Linked DNA regions of Stegostoma tigrinum. The protein of the gene in region 3 purifies or fractionates together with the protein of the main gene of each other region. This does not show direct contact. Links are inferred from orthologs where the notes say so. Each region holds a gene or a part of one and is shown on either strand. Other genes may lie near its edges. The genes, in order: arid1b, pbrm1 and bcl7a.

The links.
Region 1: the proteins of bcl7a (region 3) and arid1b purify together in Homo sapiens (affinity purification with mass spectrometry; 4 studies listed by BioGRID and IntAct, counting the BioPlex papers as one, with this or other methods). This does not show direct contact. The link is inferred for Stegostoma tigrinum from reciprocal best matches to the Homo sapiens genes BCL7A and ARID1B.
Region 2: the proteins of bcl7a (region 3) and pbrm1 purify together in Homo sapiens (affinity purification with mass spectrometry; 3 studies listed by BioGRID and IntAct, counting the BioPlex papers as one, with this or other methods). This does not show direct contact. The link is inferred for Stegostoma tigrinum from reciprocal best matches to the Homo sapiens genes BCL7A and PBRM1.

What each region holds. Positions count from the first base shown.
Region 1 is NC_081362.1:36,513,050-36,516,803, forward strand, and holds the start of arid1b (AT-rich interactive domain-containing protein 1B), read right to left. Parts: upstream 2,932-3,754; 5' UTR 2,616-2,931; coding exon 1,320-2,615; intron 1-1,319. UniProt on the Homo sapiens protein: Involved in transcriptional activation and repression of select genes by chromatin remodeling (alteration of DNA-nucleosome topology).
Region 2 is NC_081364.1:19,751,924-19,755,677, reverse strand, and holds the start of pbrm1 (protein polybromo-1), read right to left. Parts: upstream 2,495-3,754; 5' UTR 2,378-2,494; intron 1-2,377. Other genes in the region: gnl3 (guanine nucleotide-binding protein-like 3), read left to right, coding at 2,616-2,628, 2,742-2,800. UniProt on the Homo sapiens protein: Involved in transcriptional activation and repression of select genes by chromatin remodeling (alteration of DNA-nucleosome topology). Required for the stability of the SWI/SNF chromatin remodeling complex SWI/SNF-B (PBAF).
Region 3 is NC_081379.1:25,482,337-25,486,090, reverse strand, and holds the start of bcl7a (B-cell CLL/lymphoma 7 protein family member A), read right to left. Parts: upstream 2,459-3,754; 5' UTR 2,368-2,458; coding exon 2,276-2,367; intron 1-2,275.

The DNA.
Region 1 (3,754 bases), on a different chromosome or scaffold from region 3:
CACCATACCATTGGCACGGAATTGAACTTATGGGTCTGTATAGTTATACTGAAGCATTTACCATGAGCAATCAGACAAAGAGATTTCAATTTAATTAGAAAAAAAGGAAATATAGTTCACAAAGTTAAAGTTCTAGTTTTTAATATTGCTACAATTGGTGTGGAATCAAAAGCAATAACAATTATGGTATTTTACAATAGTAAATTGCTCTATATGCAGTACTTCCTGGGCAATACTTACAAAGCAGTTAATTTTCTTTGAATGAACTAACCATAATACTCATTTGTATAGATTTCACTTAATAGATATTTTAAAATAATACTGTTCTAAATTACTTCTCAATTCATCCAACAAGCTTATCCCTTGATTACACAGAACAGGTTCTGAAGTGTACGGAATATCTATTGCTGTTTCATTAAAGTTACCAACGCTTATAATTAATGGCTGATTTTAGTAAATATGCATAAGCTGGTTATTCCAGAATATTTTAATATGTCAACCGCTTGTTACTAAACAAGTGTTTCACTGCCAAAGATGGTTTATCGAATCAAACACATTTTAAAAATGGAAATTTTGATATTTAAGTGCAACTGGAATGTCGAAGGGAATGAAAGTTGAAGCGGTGTTGATTTCTCTTAATGATCCATGCGCTCTGTAAATTGTGCGGATTCTTAGGAAACGTGCAATGTGGGCTTACGATTGCGACGTTCAGGAACTTGTATTTACATCAGCACTGATAAATGCCCAGTGGTGAGTGTGAGAACCAATCAGATGGCAGATTAGATGTCAACTCGGAGGCAGCTGTCTAGAGACTCGATTCCAGGCGTTTTACCTCCATAATTCAAATTGCAAACCTTGCAAATGAAGGTGAAGAGATTCGAATACGAGCTGAATGGACCTACCAGTTTTCATACACCATGAAACAAAAATCAACCCGAGCAGCCTGGAGGGTAAAAGTAACTGAAATGGGTGGGGTCAAAAACATACCGAATAGCAGTTTAAATTAACAAAAGGAAACTTAACTGATTTATTTAATCTAGAAGTAACCTAACTGGAAGTTATCAGTTCAGTGCATAAATCCGCACAGCGGACACCCATCGCTAGGGGTAGAAAGCACAAACTCTCTGCATACGGCGTATCCCAAGAAAAAGAGTCGCTAAAACTCTCTCCTTGCCAGTAAGAAGTCATATGAAACGTAGCGCGGCCTAGGTCCCTGACCAGCAGTTGCACGACTTTCTCTCTAAATATCTTCACATCGCACAACGCCAGCTCCATTCTCCCTTCAGGGAGAAAGACACCGACAACACAGGCCGCTTTACCTGTGTCCTGCCCAGAGGCTGCGCCGAGCTGCCAGGGCTCATGGCCGTGTGGCTGCGGGCTTGTCCTGCTCCGCCGCCACCACCACCACCTCCGCCTCCGCCTCCCCAGGGTTGGCTGCTGCCTACTCCGTATTGACTGCCTATGTCGTTCCCTTTGAACGAGGTCTGCGAAGGGCCGGGATTACTGTAGTCCGGAAAGCCATATCCCCTCATGGGGCTGGGGGAGGTCAGTAGCTGGTTGAGAGTTGGCGTGGCCCCCGAATGCTGGTTTTGGCCTGAGTAGCGCTGAAATGCCCCGGCCAGAGGCGGCTGCTGCTTGCCTTGATGGTGGCCGCTGTTGGTGGCCCCACTGGATCCCATATTGTTGGCCCTGGGAGAGTTCATTATGCCGTAACCAGGGCTGCTGTAAGCCGGCCTGTACCCCGAGTAGTGGTTGTAGTTGTTGGAGTAGCCGTCGTGAGAATTGTGTAGCGGGCTGGCGCTCAGCTCCAAGCTGCTGGAAGGATGAAGCCCAAGCCCCGGGCTTTGTTGTCCGCCATGTTGATCGAAGTAGGGTCCTGGACCGGGGCCTGTTCCTGCCGCCGCCGCCCGGTAATAATAATTATAATCGTGGAGGCCAGGCGCCGGCTCTGCTTGAATATTGGAGCCTGCCGGGTGCTCATATCTCTGATCGCCCATTTTGAGCAATTGGTCGTCGGCCTTATTATTGTTGCCCTGGTTGTCAGCGCTTAACAAGATGTTGTCTTTCCCACCACCGCCTCCATGTTGAGTCTCTGCCCCGCCGCCTCCTTCTCCTTGATGATGGGGAGGAAGCAACAATTCAGCGCCGGTGGGTTTCAGTTTGTGATTGGGAATTATCCCCGCCTCACTGGCGGCCGAAGATGAGGAGGAGGCGGTGGACGCCGAGGAAGGCGAGGCTGAGGCGGGTTCTTTGTGCGTTGGCTCTGGGTTCGGGTTGGACGAGGCCGACCCCGAGCCTCCAGCAGCGCCGCTGCCTCCGCCGTTGTTGGCCGGACTGGGGCCAGGCCCCGAGGAGTTGGCCATGGTGAGCTCGCCGTGGTGCTGCTGGTGGGGAAGGTGGTGCTGGTGGTGGTGGCGAGGATGGTGATGATGATCAACGCTGTTTAGGTTCAAGCCGCCGCCACTGGGATCTCCGCCGTCACCGCCGAGTCCTCCTACCGGAGCCGCCGGTTTTCCGTTGTTGACGCTGTTTGGGTCGGGGCCGCTCAGGCCGGGGCTACCACCGTTGTTGCTACTGTTGGCCGGAGCTGCTGCTACTTGAGCAGCCATGATCATCTCTCAGAAAATCAGTCGGAGAGCAGGGAAAGACACAGACACGTCTGCTTCCTTTTACACCCGATCATTAAATATTATTAAAAAAGAAAAAAAACTTGTCCTCCTCCAGTTTGAAAGCAAAAGAAAAATAGGCTCACATTCTCTTCTGTTGCATGGTGATTATAATAATAAATTAAATTCTATTTTCTATTTTTGTTAAATAGGTAGAAAACTTTCTCCAGATCTGTTTTAAAAATCAAACTTTCCTTTCCTCTCTAACCCGGATATGGGTAACTACATGTCTAGCTGAGCCTCTGGCCCAGCATGGCATGAGGACTCCAACAACTATTATCCATTCCTCTGATTACTGCATATCAACTCGAAAACACGGGCTGGAACCTGTATCTCTCCCATACTGCACAATCTAAATGCAGTGACGTTTATAATTGTTTTACTTTCTATGTTGTTTAAAAACATGAATTCTAATTTCCTAACCTGTTAATATGTATAACTTACCATAAACTATTGGCAATCATTTCTATTTGATGAATAACAACATTAATTTAAACCTATGATTCTCTTAAGTTGCCATTTATTGTAATCTGTAAACATAGTTTGTATTAATTGTATCTTACCTTAATGTGTTATAAAATTGACCCACCAAACAAAATGCTCGTTATCAACTAATTCAAACTTTGTTTCCCATTTTAAAAAGCATCAGTCTTCATAAGATGATATGGTAGTTGTCGATTCTCTGCATATCCCAAAAACGTCAGCTTTTGTGCTCCTGAGATGCTGCTTGGCCTGCTGTGTTCATCTAGCCTCACACTTTGTTATCTCTGCATATCCCATTTCATTTTGAAAACAATTTAATAGATTTATTACATTTTCTCAATACTTATCACAATTAACATTAGTAAGATGAGATAGTAAGAGCTGCAGATGCTGGAGAATCTGAGATAACAAGGTGTAGAGCTGGATGAACACAGCAGGCCCAGCAGGAAGACTGACGTTTCAGGCCTAGACCCTTCTTATTGCTGAAGAAGGGTCTAGGCTCGAAACGTCAGCCTTCCTGCTCCTCTGATGCTGCTTGGCCTGCTGTGTTCATCCAACTCTACACCTTGTTATCTACATTAGTAAGACATCGTTTTAGACCAAAT
Region 2 (3,754 bases), on a different chromosome or scaffold from region 3:
ATGAAATTGTTCCAATTCATGTGACTTTGTCTGATTCTAAGTATTAAATTGGCTAAACAAATACACTGCTTAACCATAGGAGTTTTTTTTCAGGGACAGTAAAAGGAAAATTAGACAACAATATCCTAAATCATATCTTATATTGGTTGGCCACACTCAAAGAAAGTTTACATGCTATTACGCAAAGATTTGTTCTGCTGAATGTCCTAGTTTTGTCCAAAAAAAGCCTTTCTCTTGTCTTTCTAAAATTTTTCTATGATAAGCTAGGGATGTCTATGCACTCCCAACATCTGAAACAAAAATAGAAATTGCTGGAGAAATGCAGCAGATCTGACAGCATCTGTGGAGTGAAAGCAGAGTCAATATTTTTGGTTCAGTGACTCTTCATCAGAATGCAACACTCCTGATATCACCTCTATCCTACCTCCTCCCAGTCATAAACTGCAGACAAAAAAATACTGCACTAGCACACTTCTTTCCACTTATGTACTGGTTTTGCAGCTGTCAAATCAATGTTCTATGCCTGTAACAAACCCTTCATGCAGGTGTTTTTCTTTACTTTCTGTTGGCTGGCAGGGGTAGCCAAATGTTTTGATTTATATTAGGCAGCCTCATATTTAAAGTTTTTACCAGCAGATACTGTACTAAAGTTAACATATAGCATGAGAATCAGGTGTAATGAGTTGGAATCGGTCAACTTGATGGGCTGAAGGGCCTTTTGTGGACTGAATGATTCTAATCATTGAGACAACATGGTTAACAGTACTTTCCAAACTATTAAGTCAGTGAAATTCAAAGAGGACAAATTAACATTTTTTAGAACAGAGAACAAAATAATTGTGCCGGCATTTTTAACAGGGTATCACCAGAGCTTACAGACGTAATTATCTCGTAATTTAAATAGTCAAATAATGGTGCACATCTTGAAGAAACGGATAATCTTTCCATAGATTCAAATGCAGGGCGCCTCAGTGCATAAAAATCTCTGGAGTTTTTTTGCAAAGAAGTTTCTTAGGAAGATAGTAATTTATAGATGGAAGCAGCATCGTGTTTATTGCCTGAATTCAAAATTAATTTTGATAATATCGAAGTGGATAACATACTGATATGTCAAAATAAATGTCAATCATTCACATTTGTTGAAGAAGTTATTTCAGTACTGACAATTTGATGGACTCACCGTAAAGATAGCAGACTAACTGCGTCAATGACAGGATGAACAGTCTATCTCACAAACTAATGAGATAAGAATTAAAAATAAAAAGAAAAGCAATGTTTGGAGAAATAGAATGGGTCAGAAGTGTGTAAAAAAAGGAAGAGAGAAATGTAAGCTTAAGTGGAAGAGAGTCAAAAAGGAAAAGTTAAACAACACAATTTATAATCTGTAGAGGAGATCCATCTGTCTTAATTATTTCCTTTTAAAGTTAGAGATGAGGTGACTTTGTGGAAACATGAATCTTGTAATTAAAACAGTTCTTACACCATTTAGTACTAGTCCTGCTTTTCTATAACAAGTCAAAATTCATTTTAACAGAGCAAATAGAATAATTTCTTAAAAGTCACAGGTCAGCTGGCTGCCAGCTCCTGCTTTCGCAAAGCAAATTTTGTAATAACATGCAACACATCAGGTTATCTCAAAGTTGCCATGAATAGCTGCGCTACTTACAAATTCATAACTTACAGTGAATTCACTGTTACTTTCTCAGCAAATTCTGGCCTAACGTTTTTGCCCAGTGGATCTTAGTAAACTGTGACTATGTGGAAAATTTGGTTTAATTGGACAACTTTTTTAAAAACTGAAGTGCCATCTTAGAAATGTAAATATGCTTAAAATGTTGTTATGACAACAACCATAAAAATGTGGCATGTTCCCCTAATCAGGAAGTGTTCTATTCCTAGGATTACCGGCAGATTTTATTCCCCGATTGTACGCAGCTCCATTTCAATTTAAAATAAACCCACTGACAACAATACTAGTTCATTGTCTTGACATCTTAAATGTACGTTCAATCACTGAATATCCAGCAACGATGTCTGGATGATGTAGGCAGGGTACATTTCATTCATACCTTTGGAACAGGGCGAAAAATAGGCTTAAACGTAAAAGTTAAAATATCTGCTTCCTTTCAATATGGGCAGAAACAAAAACAGCTCATTTAGGCGCTGAATGAAAGGTGGAATGAACTGAGAGGTGGACACAAGCCATCGCGCGGTTGAAATCTTGACTCCCGGGAGCTGACTGACAACAAAAGAAGCAGCGGCCTGAGCCTCACAAACACCTTGGCAGCCACGCAAAAACAAACTGGAAAAAGACTGCAGGCACAACTTCCACACATCACTCATCTCAGTACAACTCAGCAACCGAAGCCGTCCTTACCCTACTCGGCTGATCCCGAAAGAATATATGATAAAATAATAATAATAACAACAAGAGATCCACAGTCTCCTCCTATACCCAACTATGCCCCTATCGTCAGCATCAGCGGCTCAGCCGTAAAGCGGGTCGGGGATAGAGTATTGACGACATTGACGTGCTCTCTCACTGTGTGTTTACGGCAGGCGATGGGACGTTTGGGACTTTGTCACGTGGATTGCTCTTTTTGCAGCCGGACGGTATGAAGCGGCCGAGTGAGTTGTGTGGCGTGGAATTGTAGTCTTTACTGTTCGTTACATTCTTTTTTTTATCCGCAGGAGTTAGTATTGTTTCGATTCATTGCCCTCATTGTTGCGTTTCCTTACAGAGCTGAAAAAGGCGAGCAAGCGCCTGACATGCCACAAGCGATTTAAGATCCAGCGAAAGGTGAGCCGGGGTGGAATCCACGAGTTGTGGACGCCCCAATATTGGGTACATTGTTCGCTCTGGGAAAGCTTGTGAGATATAATAACCGGATCGTAATGTATTGAAACTGGCTAAAGAAAGAGCAAGTACTTTTATAGCCAACCTGAACTGCGCCAAGCCCCTTCACAATCACCTAAGTTAGTACTTGTACGAGCACGTGGCTTTAAGGCAAACTGCGTAACACATAGTCAAGTACAATTTGGTATAAACTCTTAGTATGCAGTTCGAGCACCTTGCAATTTTTGTACATCACGCTATTTAGAAAAAGTTTACTGCAGCCTATTCACATTTTTAAATGATTGGGCAGGAGTATTGGATGATTAGATTATTAACAAAGAGCAGATGAAATGCATTTTGTAATGATTGAGAAGTTCAGGATACGGATTTAAGATGGAGTTTTGGAAATCTTTTCATTATGTTAAGCTGACGGAAGAGAGATAAACAAGAATAGAGTGGACATATGTGAGCATGACTTATGGTCCTTGTCAACTAAATGTCAACAGACATGTTTCTGTTGTAATTTTAGTGTTTATTCTATATACTTTTTGTAATTCACTGCTTGAATTAGTGTGCAGTTATACCTCATTGATATTTCAAGAAATTTGCAATTTACAATCTATAGAGCCTTTTTGAAGAAAACCACCCAGATTTGACCATTTTTAATAACGTGACAAAGAAACATAGTACTGGGTCATTTGGCCCTTCGAGGCTATTTCTCCGTTTGGAACAATGGCTGATAATTTTGGGGTCTCAGTCTCACAATTTGACTGACTCCATAAACCTTGGATGTGTGTCAATCTTTTTAATTTAGCCTTTGATAAATTTTATATTTATTAGATTGGATTAACTGCAGTGTGGAAACAGGCCCTTTGGCCCAACAAGTCCACACCACCCCTTGAAGTATCCCACCCAAAC
Region 3 (3,754 bases):
TCCACAAGTCATTGCAGTCGCAGAAAGTACATTCCTGGTTCCTCTGCTCCAATTCAGATGGCAGCAGGAAAAAGTTCCTATTCCTGATTGTTATTTAGCAATACATCCTGTTTTCAGCATTGGAAAGACATTATGTAGGATGGAATCAAACTTGGCAACGATTCCTTTCTTCTGTGATTAGCCCATCACCACACTTTCTGGTTTCACATAAGAATAATTACAAAATATTGCTGAGTAGCTCAAGTAAAATCTTGAAGGGAAGAAATCTGGAAGGAAACAAAATTCAGTTTAAATTAATGACGAATAAATAAACTAGGTGATGGCAATCTCTCAAATTTCTCTCCTCTAAGGCATTACATCCTTCAATGGTTAGTTGTAGAATTGTATTCAATAACATGCTTATGAAGCAAGATAGGATGTTTTATTACAAATAAGATCCTTTATAAATAGAAGTTTTGTTTATTTAAAGCAGTCATAGAACTTAATTCAAGTGATAGCACTCCCGTCTGTCAGAAGGTTAAAACCCACTTCCAGATACCTTGGGCACAGACTAGACAAGAAGCTCTTGCACAACAGTGAAGATGAACTGCATCTTAGAAAGTGTTGCTTCAAATTACACACTAAATTGACATGTCTGCTTTCAAAATAGTTTCATCGGAGCATGAAGTTTGAAGCTGGCCATTTGGGTTTTGTTTAAGTCTGCTCCAGCATTACTAAGACCTGGTTTATAATCTCAACTGTACTCTTCTGTGTCCACTATAACATCCAACTCTGCCTTAATTAAATTCAATGATCCAGCCTGCATTCCAAAAGACAGAATTACCCCGGAAGTAATTGGTAAAGTTTATGCCTCAATGTCCTTAAAACATTATACTGTAGACACTTTCTATGCAAATTGCTACCAGCTTACATTAATTTCACTTCATTACCTGCTCATTCTCTACCCACAGATTCACATACTTGTAAAGGTTGGGCCTAGAGCCTTCTTTAAATATCATTGACTCATTTGATCACAAGGTCTTTCATTGTACATGGGAGTGTTACATAGCAGTATCCAAGTTCTGTTACCCATGAGAAGTCCATGTATCCCCTCAGGTAAAGAGAATTTAGTGTACAATAATAAACTTCAAAAGTACACCTTTGCCTCCAAAATTATGTCAAAACATCCTGAGGTTGTGAAAGTTGCATATAAATTTAAATGTTTTCCTTACTGTTCCTTTTCTCAAAATAAATGCTAAACATATTCGCAATTTAAAAAGTTAATAACAGAATTCAAATCACCTACAACGCTCTCTACGTCATGCCTCAACGTCAAGAGAGGGATTTACAAATTGTGATTCTAAGCAGCAACACAAATTAAATCTGGGTAAGAGGTCACGTTAGGACAACCAAGATAGCAGCAATATGAATAGAGCACGTGGATTCTAGTTACAATGTTTACAAGTAACTGAAAACAACAGGACGCGGAGTTATTGTGTGCTCTCAACAGCTGATTGCGAAGTGGATACATGTAAATTGTTACCTCTGCCAAAATCTAACTTCACTCAAAATGAACTAAAAAGAATATGCAAGACAAAACAGTTATTCACGAAAAGACTTTTTATTCGTGGCTAAATATTTATGCTTTCCAATTAGCGCAAACTCATGCATTGCCCGATCACGCAACAGAAATTTTGTCGTCTAAAAATACTAGATAAATATAATAGCGAGAAAATACGCGCACTACTAGATATTTAATTTTACACTCGGTTGATAGTGACCCAGTTGAGGTTGGCTACTTCCTCCTCCCTTCCTGGCCTCGCCCTGTACTAAAGTGCGATCCAAAGCGCTAAATTTAAAAACCTTCATCAACAATAAAAATGAAAGAGGGCTGTGGAGCGTACGGGGAAGCGCCGCGCCGAAGCAGAGCCGACAAAGGACGCGGTCGTCTCGCAGTCTGCAGCCGGCACCGACACAAAGCAATGGCACAGGCTTCATGTGACTGCAGCGAAATGGATTCTGGGTTCAGCCCTCATTCCTATCGATGTGGGTCGGCTTTGAAGTGATTTTTTTTTAATTTTAAAATAAACCTGAAAAGGCAATCCCTATCCGGCTGTCCGCTCACCGGCGACGGAATTCCCCTCCTACAAAACCTGGATTCCGCTCCGACCCAAGTGATCTCCTTCCCCTACCACCTCCTCCTCCTCCTCTCTTCAACGACCGAGAGGGAAACGCCGACCTTTTAAAATCATATCCCCGTTGTGTTGTCGGTTTTGTTTTTAAAAAGACCCCTTACCATTTCCGTACTTTTTCGATAGCTGCCATAACCCTTTTGATGTCATCCTTGGCCCTGCTCCTGGTCTCGGCCCGCACCGACCTGCCGGACATAGTGAATTGTGGAAAGGCCGAGCGCCGCCAGCACAAAGCAAGCGAAACAACCTCTCTCTACCCGCCCCCTCCCCCCCAAACCAGGGCCGCCGCTACTGCTGCTGCTGCTCGAGCCGCCCTGCCTGCGCCTGCGCAAACGTCCGCCCCCGCGCGCGCGCGCGCGTACACATTGGAAGGAGAGCCGCGTGAACAAAGGCAGCACCTATCGCGAGATCTCATTCCCCCGCTTTTCCCGCCCTGCCTCCATTCAGCCACGTGTTTCATGACCGTAGAACCACGCGCGTCGATAGGTCCGCACGTTGAATAAACCAGTCCAGAAAGAAAACCTACATCGGACCCTTCATGCCGAGAAAAACTGGAATATGTTTTCGTTCAAGCCTTAAATGGCGACTTAAGATCCTCGGCCTTGGATGGCGGCTAGCTTATTTCCATGCACTTTCACATCTGTAATACACCAACGCTCCCTATTTAAACAACAATCCTAATTCTCTTCAAAACCAGCGAGAAACCAAACGGCACAAAAGCTCGATTCTAAACAGAGCAGGTACTTGGTGACTGAGCATGTCCAATGTCTGCCCTGGCCACCCTGCCACTGCTGTTTCTGCACAAAGTCCCTGTGTGCTCCTTGGCCCGTTTCCTTCTTGACACTTTATCCATGTATATCGGCATTGGAAAACCACCAGCCTTAGCACATCATGCCGGTCTCAGAGCAATTCACCAGTCAGTTCACACCTTCAACCCTCTAATTTGGAGCAAAAGAACTTGTATGTTTCTGCCGGTTGCTTTGCATGCATGCTGGAACACATGCATCTTATGGCTCTTAGCTTGTGTTCTACCGCTGATTGACCTTAGAACTTATCTGGAGACATCCATCCTCTCTAGATAGCATTGCTTTCTTACAGCACGAGCTCTTGACTGCTGACTTATAGATTGCCAGAAGGAGTGGTAGACAGCTTGTCATTTTGAGGAGCACTGGATATTCAATGTATCAGTCAAACAAGAAGTGGGCATGTAATGATGGCACCATCCAATGTCAGAGCAACGTGCATCAGCAGCTTATGAGACAAATATACTGCATGTGCGTTGAGCAAATGACAGTGAGAAAGTCAATGGGGAAATGCACTTAGTAGGGCATGGGAAGATTATGGTTGGTCAGGGGTTAATGCCATGGCAATCTTATTCCAGTTACAGAGTTGGTCACAGTCAGTCCTGCAGGTGACAGTCAAGTAGTTTAGGGATGGCAAGTAGGTCAATAGCAATGCTATTGAGACATCAGTCCAGGGGTATATTTAGTTTTACCTGCAATGAATCGAGAAAAACTGAGTATGATGTAAGTATGGTACAAGATTAGTTAATGGCCACACATAAGCATGAGAGGTGATGACAT